Linked DNA regions of Cricetulus griseus. The protein of the gene in region 1 purifies or fractionates together with the protein of each later gene. This does not show direct contact. Links are inferred from orthologs where the notes say so. Each region holds a gene or a part of one and is shown in the gene's direction. Other genes may lie near its edges.

The links. The genes of interacting proteins can lie anywhere in the genome.
Region 2: the proteins of Tbp (region 1) and Taf9b purify together in Homo sapiens (affinity purification with mass spectrometry; 3 studies listed by BioGRID and IntAct, with this or other methods). This does not show direct contact. The link is inferred for Cricetulus griseus from reciprocal best matches to the Homo sapiens genes TBP and TAF9B.

The regions. Positions count from the first base shown.
Region 1 is NC_048595.1:294,452,316-294,456,748, forward strand, and holds part of Tbp (TATA-box-binding protein), read left to right. Parts: intron 1-1,118; coding exon 1,119-1,286; intron 1,287-2,437; coding exon 2,438-2,532; intron 2,533-3,188; coding exon of another isoform or gene 3,189-3,268; exon of another isoform or gene 3,269-3,913; intron 3,914-4,433. UniProt on the Homo sapiens protein: The TFIID basal transcription factor complex plays a major role in the initiation of RNA polymerase II (Pol II)-dependent transcription.
Region 2 is NC_048604.1:64,531,805-64,536,776, forward strand, and holds the start of Taf9b (transcription initiation factor TFIID subunit 9B), read left to right. Parts: upstream 1-1,603; 5' UTR 1,604-1,697; coding exon 1,698-1,748; intron 1,749-2,297; coding exon 2,298-2,379; intron 2,380-2,689; coding exon 2,690-2,826; intron 2,827-2,902; coding exon 2,903-3,037; intron 3,038-3,996; coding exon 3,997-4,072; intron 4,073-4,972. UniProt on the Homo sapiens protein: Essential for cell viability. TAF9 and TAF9B are involved in transcriptional activation as well as repression of distinct but overlapping sets of genes. May have a role in gene regulation associated with apoptosis.

The DNA.
Region 1 (4,433 bases):
AGGGATATATCATCATTTCTATTATCAGGCTAGCACTTTTGTTTGTTTGTCTGTTTTGAGACAGGGTTTTTCTCTGTAGCCCTGGCTGTCCTGGAATTTACTCTGTAGACCAGGCTGGTTTAGAACTCACAAAATTCTGCTTGCTTCTGTCTCCTTAGTGCTGAAATTAAAGCAGTGCACCACCACCGCCCTGCTGGATTAGCATGTTTTTTTCAAATGCTTGGAACCAAACATATATATATTATTCTTATTTCCTGTACATTTGTGTTTTGCCTACATGTACGTCTGTGTGAAGGTGCTGGGTCCCCTGAAACTAGAAATACAGACAGGTGTGAGCTGCCATGTGGGTGCTGAGAATTGAACCCAGGTCCTCTGGAAGAGCAGCCACAGCTCTTTACTACTGGGCCATCTCTCCAGCCCTGGACTAACACTTTCAATGTGTTATCTTTAATGGTTTATCCTAATCACTTTGAATAGCATCAATGCCCACTTCTCATTTTTGTTACCCCTGATTTCCTGTACTTTAGTATTTGCATCCTACTTTTGTGGTGAAAGCTAAGTTGGAAAGTCAGTTCCATCCAATAATGTTGTCCTAAGAGTGGATGGAGATCTGATGTAAAGGAAGATAGAATTTATGTATTTGTCAGTAGTAAATTTTACTAGTCTTTTCAGTTTTTTGTTGTTGTTGTTGTTTTGTTTTTCAAAAATGGGTTTCTCTGTGTATCCCTGGAACTTGCTCTGTATACCAGGCTGGCCTCAAGATACACCTGCCTCTGTCTCCCAAGTGGTAGGATTAAATCTGTGTGTTCCACCATCCGGCTTTAGTATTTTTTTTTTTATATATAAAAATGAGGTTTCCATCTCAGTAGATATTTGTGGGTCAGAATGTAGTAAAAGCAATGATCATAATTGAATCACATGCTACATCACATCCTTTAAACCTAGAGCTTGTCGGTAATCTGGCAAATCCAAGGCTGATGTTTTGGTAGATTATCCTTTCTGTTAAGGTCACAGGGATAGTTTAATTAGTTTTCTAATTTAGACTCCATTTAAGTTATTCTTCTGAATTACTCCATTAGGCTTCTGTACATACTCACTGTTTTTTCTTTTTTCTTTAGTGAAGAACAATCCAGACTAGCAGCAAGAAAATACGCTAGAGTTGTGCAGAAGTTGGGCTTTCCAGCTAAGTTCTTAGACTTCAAGATCCAAAACATGGTGGGGAGCTGTGATGTGAAGTTCCCCATAAGGCTGGAAGGCCTTGTGCTGACCCACCAGCAGTTCAGCAGGTAGGTCTGAGAGATATTGGGATTAGTGTTAGCAACAATCCATTTACTATCTACTCAGGCATCATTCAGGGTGAAGTACATGTAAGACATTCTGTTTCTAAGCTTATGATGTAGTTGCAAGTTGAGTGTGCTCCATGTAAACATAAGGTATCTCTGCAATTGTGCTACTGCACTTTTTGCTGCCCTCTTTCACTCAGTGACCGACACCCAAACTCCTTCCCTGGAGCGACTCAGATCACTTCTGTATGCCTTATCATTTTGTTAGTCAGTAAATCCATTTACATAAATAAATTTGTAGTTTCTTCTACCATTTTTCTCCTAGTTTGAATCTTTTTTGTCAACACACCAGCAAAGTATACAAATGAGCAAGCAGGGATGTGCTGTCCTTTATTATTCCTTTCCATTTTCTTCTCACCCTTACCTCGGTTATTTGTTTTCTATTTGCGGCCACATCAGCTCACCAGCCCCCTCACACTTACCCTAATCCTCTTGCTTCAGGGCCTTTACACATGGTACTTTTATACCTGGCACATTAGGTTCAGTTTTTAACATAGAAATTCCTTTTTGAGTTTCAGATAGTCAGTGTTGCTCCTTTTCATATAAACCTGTCCCAAAAGAGTTTTTTTCCAGGTTACACATAAGACACACAGGTCCTTTTATCAGATTAAACAAACCTGAAATCACTAGGTTAGAATTTCATTAATGTCAGTTCAGGTAGATGATGTGATCAGGGAGTAGGTTCATTTCCAAGCTCATGGTTTGTCACTCTGGTTAAGTCACCCTGTTAGAGTATTTCTATTCAGGAAGGTGATGTATGATTACAAGGTTGACTGCCACTATCAACTCTTAAGAGTGCATGGTGAGATTAAGCTGCTATCCCTAGACTTGCCCAAAATGAACCTAATGAGGGTCAGAGAATGTGAGTATACAGTCTTGTTTTTATCATAGAAAATCTAGATTCTGTGAGGACAGCATAGAAAGCCATATCCATGCCATTTGGCTCTTGCTTGGTGAAAGTGTTTCCTTCTTGTGTGTCCTATTTGTGGACACCTGGCTTGTTCACTCAGTACTTCCTGACACAAGGCCTCATTGTGTTTACACACAAAAAAAAAACTGGTGATTCCTAAACTGTTTTCCCATTTTCTTTCTAGCTATGAGCCAGAATTATTTCCTGGATTAATCTACAGAATGATCAAACCCAGGATTGTTCTCCTTATTTTTGTTTCTGGAAAAGTTGTATTAACAGGTAAGTTAAAGGGATAGAGTACCAAACTTGGAAAGAATTTAGGATGGGATTTCTGTGTTGGGACAACTGCCTAGCCACTTGTAAGGAAGATTTTGTTTACATTTTGCTTCCCATCCTTCATGAGAAAGGGGGAAGAGTGAAAACACTAGAGTTCTGCTACAGTTGTAGCCTGCGGCTAGACTATGTTTGACTGTGGCAGCAGGCAAGGAGGAAACACGAATACTAGGAGGGTGGGGGGTATTGCCTTGCTTGCTGACTTGTGGATCCTGGCCTGCGACCAACTGGTGAGGAAATGCTGGTCTAGAGTTAAAAGTCTTTAAACGCTAAGAAAATAATGTTTTAAAAACAAAAGCTGGAGAGCGGGGCATGGCCCTTAATCCTAGTACTCAGCAGGCAGAGGCAGGCTAGCCTGGTCTACACAGCAAGTTCCAGGACAGCCAGGGCTATACAGAGAAACCCTGTCTCTTAAAAAAGAAAAAAGGAAGGCTAGGATTATGACAAAGGGCCTCCACCATTTATTTTAATACCATTTGTTTGTCTTAACTGGGTATGGAGAGAACTGTATTTGTGGCTTTGTTTTAAGGTAATGATGTTACTTTCTATTTTAAGAAATGTTACTTAAACCATCTCGTTTCTATTCCAATGTGTCTTTGTAGGTGCTAAAGTTAGAGCAGAAATTTATGAAGCATTTGAAAACATCTACCCCATCTTAAAGGGATTCAGGAAGACCACATAGTGGCTGCCATGTCCTGCCTCCCCTACCCACTTGTTTTTTAAAACCCGTCAGTTTTGGTACCGCTCATGGTACAGTTGTGAGAAGGACACTCAGTTACAGGTGGCAGCATGAAGTGACACCGTGTGTCCCACTGCAGGACACTGAAAGGTTACCTCCTCTGCAGTGAGATCGATTGCCCTGCAGCATTACTGTGAGTCGCTTGCTCTGTGCTGCTACTTGGGCAGCACTGCCCATTTATTTATATTTAGATTTTAAACACTGCTGTTGATGAGTTTGTTGGTTTAAGGGACAGAACTTTTAAGTGTTCAAGCCACCTGTACAATTGGACTTTTTATTTTAACTTTTCCCACATAAGCCAGTTTTTATATTTCTACCAGAAAAGTAAAAATCTTTTTTTAAAAGTGTTGTTTTCTAGTTTCTAACTCTTAGGAGTTATTTTTGTGCCAGATACATTCCACCTTCCCAGTATTGCAGAACTCTAAATAGTTGTATTAATCAAAACAAATGTACATACTTTTCTTTCTTTGGAGTACTCTGCACAAAAAAATGCAGCCTGTAAATTGTTAGATTTTTGTTACAAATGATACCTTGTAAGAGTCATGTGATCATACTGTCAAAGAAATTTATTTTAGATATAATACCTGAGACCGTTGTTTTGTTTGCTTGTCATTTTTTTTCCTTTTTCTCAATTGCAGTGAAAATGGACATACCAGTGATTTTACAATCCCCATTGAACACCCTCCTATTTCCTAGATACTTCAGTGTCTGGGATCTTCACCAAACTAGTTACCTTTTGTTACTTTTTCAGCCTTTGCCAGAGCCTTATCCAAGGTTTCATAGCTAGTAAGGGACATGGGAGGGCTATTAAGGGAATGGGAATGGGAGGTATAGAAGCTGCTGCCCTGTCCACAGATAGCTAGCTTCTCCAATAGAACATTTTTGTCATGAAATACCAGGTGGACACTTATAAAGCCTTGGGTTATTTCAGGAGCATTTTATGTCCCTTTTCTTAAATTATAAAAGTACATTTGCAGTTTAGAGTATGTGTAATCAGAAAGAAGTCTTTTTCTTTCTGTCCTTACCTATTTCCCCAGGTAACCTCCACATTGGTGGATGTCTTCTAACCCTTCACCTAGATTATGCCTGAGCGCTCTACAGTGTACCT
Region 2 (4,972 bases), on another chromosome or scaffold:
AAGCCCCTAAAGTTTAAGGTGTGGCGGGGGGAGTACTACCGGAGAATTTTAAGTAAAACAGTTTTTGTTATACATAAGAGATTCCCTTCGGTTGTGCGGAAGTGAAGGAGGCCTCGTTCCATTTTAGCACGCAGTTGGTGTGAAGGTGTTTCTTACCGTCACAGCTCTGGAACTAAATAGCGAAACACGATGAGATGTGATGTAATTTCGTAAGGTCACCCTGATAGGACTTGTTCCTACTTAAGGGGCTAAAGGAAAGATAGGATGATAGGTCGTGTCTGATCTAGGGGGTCAGGGCAACTATTTCAAAGGCGGAAGGTAGATAGAACAGTTGATGCAAGTAGGAACAGGATTCTTTGACACCTTTTTTTTTTGGGGGGGGGGGTCGAGACAGGGTTTCTCTGTGGCTTTGGAGGCTGTCCTGGAACTAGCTCTTGTAGTCCAGGCTTGTCTCGAACTCACAGTGATCCGCCCACCTCTGCCTCCCGAGTGCTGGGATTAAAGGCATGCGCCACCAACGCTCGGCTCTTTGACACCTTTTAAACTAGAGACTGTTAACTGATGTCTTTAATTCTGGAGGTCGGGAGAATAGGTGCCATGGCATGAACATCATGGCGCTCAAGCCCAGGGGCATTTTGTAGAGGAGGGCAGGTCATCAAATTTGTCTCATAGGAAGAGCCTTTACCCGCTATGGCCTCTTCTTTGCTGTTCCCTATGCCTAACGTATTCTGAAAAACATGGGACTGGGCAATCTGGGAGGCAAGAAAGGACCCAATTTGGACCTTAGTGGAGTGAACTGTTCGGAGTTTGAGAAGGGTAGAGGGAAGAAGGTGCCTATGTAGGCTTGACCAAAGCCCTACTTGTGCAGAGTACTGTCTATCTCAGTGATTCTCAACCTTCGTAAGGCTTCGACCCTTTAATACTGTTGCCCATGTTGTAGTGATTATTAAACTTACTAAATATTATTAAATTTTAATTATATATTATATAATTATTTGTATTTTTATATATTTACACGTTAAATATAATATATAAATATATTAAATGTTCAAATTATTACATTTAAATCATTAAATAAAAATATTAATTAAATTGAATCTCCATAAAATTATTTCATTGCTACTTCAGAACTGTATGAATCGTAATGTAAATATCTGGTATTTACAGGTTAAGAAACGCTGGTGGGATTGTGAGATTTAGAAAAGAGAGATTTCAGAATGCCTAATTAAATTTGAATGTCAGCTAAGCAGCAAATAATTTTGCAGTATCAGTATGGCCCGGGTAAATGTGGTAATACGCTTAGAAAAATGTATTCATTGTTAATGTGATATTCAGATGTAAGGTGTTGTTGAGTTTGTCTGTGCCGTGTTCACCTTAAGACTAGATGGAGGAAGGGCCTCTGCGGGAATTCCAGGAAACTGAAAGGACAGGTGGTCATTAAGGGGTATCAGAATGGTCTGAGCAGAGCTAGGGATGCGTTACTAGGACGACTTCTCTGTATCTCTCCATCACAGAGCCTGGAGCTGCCCCAGTCTGAGGTAGCCACGCCCACGCAGGTGGGGGCGAGCGTCTGGGAAGAAGCCCAGGCCTGCGAGCAGCAGTCTAGGCCCGCCTTCCATCCCCCACAGGGGTGGAGCCTGGGCGAGGAGGAATCAGCCTGCAGCTCTCTCAGCCTGGTTGAAGAGTCGCAGGAGAAAATGGAGTCTAGCAAGATGGCGCCTCCCAAGAACGCGCCTAGAGATGCCTTGGTAAGTGGGAGGGGAGGGAAGCCAGGCACACAGGAGGTGCCCTGTGTGGCCGACCCGACTGAGCGCCTGGCGGGGAGAAAAGGGGTTGCGTGTCATTTACAGCTGGGCGACGTGTCTGGGAAAGGGTAGTGGGGTTCACCGGTCCCTGGGGCGCCGTGCACGCTCCGGGGAGCCCCTCCAGAGGGGCGCGGGCTGCCTGGGGGCTTTTGTCTCGCTGGATCCGGACCGCCCCCGGTCCCCCAGGTCTGAAACCTCCTCTCTTCACCCAGTCTATGAGCCCTGACAGCGTCGTGGGTTCCGATGCTAGCTTCCCTCACTGTCACATCCGAAAATGACAGCCAGCTGGACCCACCCCTACCTCTGCCTGGAAACCTGGTCCAGGCCTTGTGTCTTTACTCCATCCTTGCTAAAATAAGTTTTCACCAAGAGCATATGACTGATTTTGTGTGTGCAGAAGGTACAAGGAGGAGCAGTTTGGGACTTTGTAGCAAACATAAAAATATACCACATTGTGCATCTGCTTTTTTTTGTTTTTATTTGAATCCACAGGTGATGGCACAGATCCTGAAGGATATGGGAATCACAGAGTATGAGCCAAGGGTTATAAATCAAATGTTGGAATTTGCTTTCCGTAAGTTTCTTTTTAATTGACTGTGAATTAGAAAGGATCATTTATTGTAGCACTTTAAACCAAATTCTGTTACCAATCTAGAGATGAGTAAAGCACTAAGGAGCTCAAGCTAAGGGACAGTAGTATTTATATATAGCATGTCTGTTTAAATAAAGTATCATGTGAATAGGACAATTATTTATTAAAATCAAGTCTTACATGTTCCAGAAACTAGTGGAACCTTTTAAAACAAGGAGCCATAAATACTAAGATTCTTGTCTTAATATATATTAATGTCTTCATGTAATAAAAAATTATTTTGCTCTTAAAGGATATGTGACCACGATTCTGGATGATGCAAAAATTTATTCAAGTCATGCTAAGAAACCTACTGTTGATGCAGACGATGTGAGATTGGCAATCCAGTGTCGGGCTGACCAGTCTTTTACCTCTCCTCCCCCAAGAGATGTAAGCAAACATTTATTTGCAGTTATTTTTACTTACACTTTAAAAATCATATTTCTAATGAGGATTTTTCTTTTAGTTTTTACTAGATATTGCAAGGCAGAAAAATCAAACTCCTTTGCCACTGATTAAGCCATATGCAGGACCTAGACTGCCACCTGATAGATACTGCTTAACAGCTCCAAACTATAGGCTGAAGTCCTTAATTAAAAAGGTAAGAATTTCTGGCTTGTTCCTGGAATCCCAGGCAGGAAGATCAGGAGATCAAGGTCATCCTTATGTCTTCAGGGCAATCCTGAGCTAAGCCAATCTCTTATCTCAAAAAAAGGAAGCTTCAGTTTATGGTTTATGTCTTTTAAAAGGTGGAATAGGCAAACTTATAAAAAGCAAACTTCCTGTAGATAGCATAGTAAAGGTTAAAATGATCCTTAGAATTTTTTTTTTAATTTTCAGAGCTAGAAAAAACTTTATTTCATCTAACCCAGTGGGAACTTTTCTCATCATACAACTGGACCTGAACTCATGGGCTCATGGAGCTAGGACTGATTCCCAGATCTAGTAGCTCAGTTTTTGTACTTTGCCACAGGTTTTTTTTTTTTTTTTTTTTTTTGTGTGTGTGTGTGTGTGTGTATGAGAGAGAAGAGAGAGAGAGGAGAGAGAGAGAGAGAGAGAGAGAGAGAGAGAGAGAGAGAGAGAGAGAGAGAGAGAGAGAGAGAGAGAGAGAGAGAGAGAGAGAGGTGCAATGATGAGGTAAATTGCCATCGGCAAGTAGACCTTTGTCAGACATATGAATGACCTTAGGCTCTTTCAGCACTGAGAAAGGAACTCTCCATATCTTTGAAACTCTGCTGTGAGACAGTTTTCATTTAGGCACAGTTAAGACACTAAGTTGTATTTGTCTCCATTCATAAGACTCTACCTTAAATACTCTGCCGAATTAGATAGGGTCTTAACTGTGTATGTATGTATGCAAAAACTCCAAATATTGGATTTAAATCATAGAAGAGTTCAGTCCTCAGTAGCATGACCAAAAGAAAAAGAAAACACAGTTAAAACAGACATTTTTGCATTGGATCATGCACTATTAACTCACATCAAGTTATACTTTCACTCTTCATCAAGTTTAGGTGTCAAATCTTAACATTAAAACTAACTTGTGTTTAAATCCCCTAGGGACCTAACCAAGGAAGACTAGTTCCTAGATTAAGTGTTGGTGCTGTCAGTAGCAGACCTACTACTCCTACTGTAGGTAAGTTAAAGAGGGAACTGGCATTTCTGGACAGTGAAAACATCGTCTCAGCATTTGCTTTTGAACCATAACCCAAGTCAAAATGAGAGTCAGAAACTCTGGTATGTTGCCAATGATAATTTTACTCAATGAAAAAAAAAACCCACAAAGACTGATCCCAAATGGCATTGGCCCAACTCTTACTGTTATAAACTGTGATTCTAGAAACACTTAGACCTTTTATGCTTCGAGTCACCAAGCACACCCATGCCAACTTAATCGAAACTCCATAAATTGAGTACAGGTTCAAAGAAGTTTAAAATCTATAGAAAGCTCAAGGATCTTAAAAACAGGTTTTAATACTTATCTTTTAAAAAACAGTACAAGGACCATCCTGGGTGACATAGAAAGACTCCATTTCAAAACAGAAAATCATAGTAATTATCTTATACTGGTCAGTGAGAACCCTCAAGGTGTGTCCCATAATGAATTTAATAGCTCTCCATCATACTGTGTACATTTCTGACATACAATGGTCAAAGCCTGTCTTATATTCTTTTCCAGCTTTTGGAATCAACCACTTTTCCAAAGACCCTTAGTTCTTTTTAGTGAATGGTGTTTAGGAACCATTATTTGTAACAATTAAAAAAAAACAAGCTTTCTGATTTTTTTCATGTTTTCTGATTTTTCATGTTTTGCAGGGAAAAAATCCTCTTCTTTTTTCACTTGTACTAATTTCATGGCTCTTGCTGCTTTTAATTTGAGTCTTTCCAGTGTCATTACACTTCTAGTATAAGAATGATTAATTTTTTTAAATGCTGGGTCTTAATCTGTAATGCAGGATAATCTTAAAAGTCTTTATCCTCCAGCCTTTGAGCATTCAGATTACAGTTGAGGAATACTGCCTAGCTAGCATTTGAT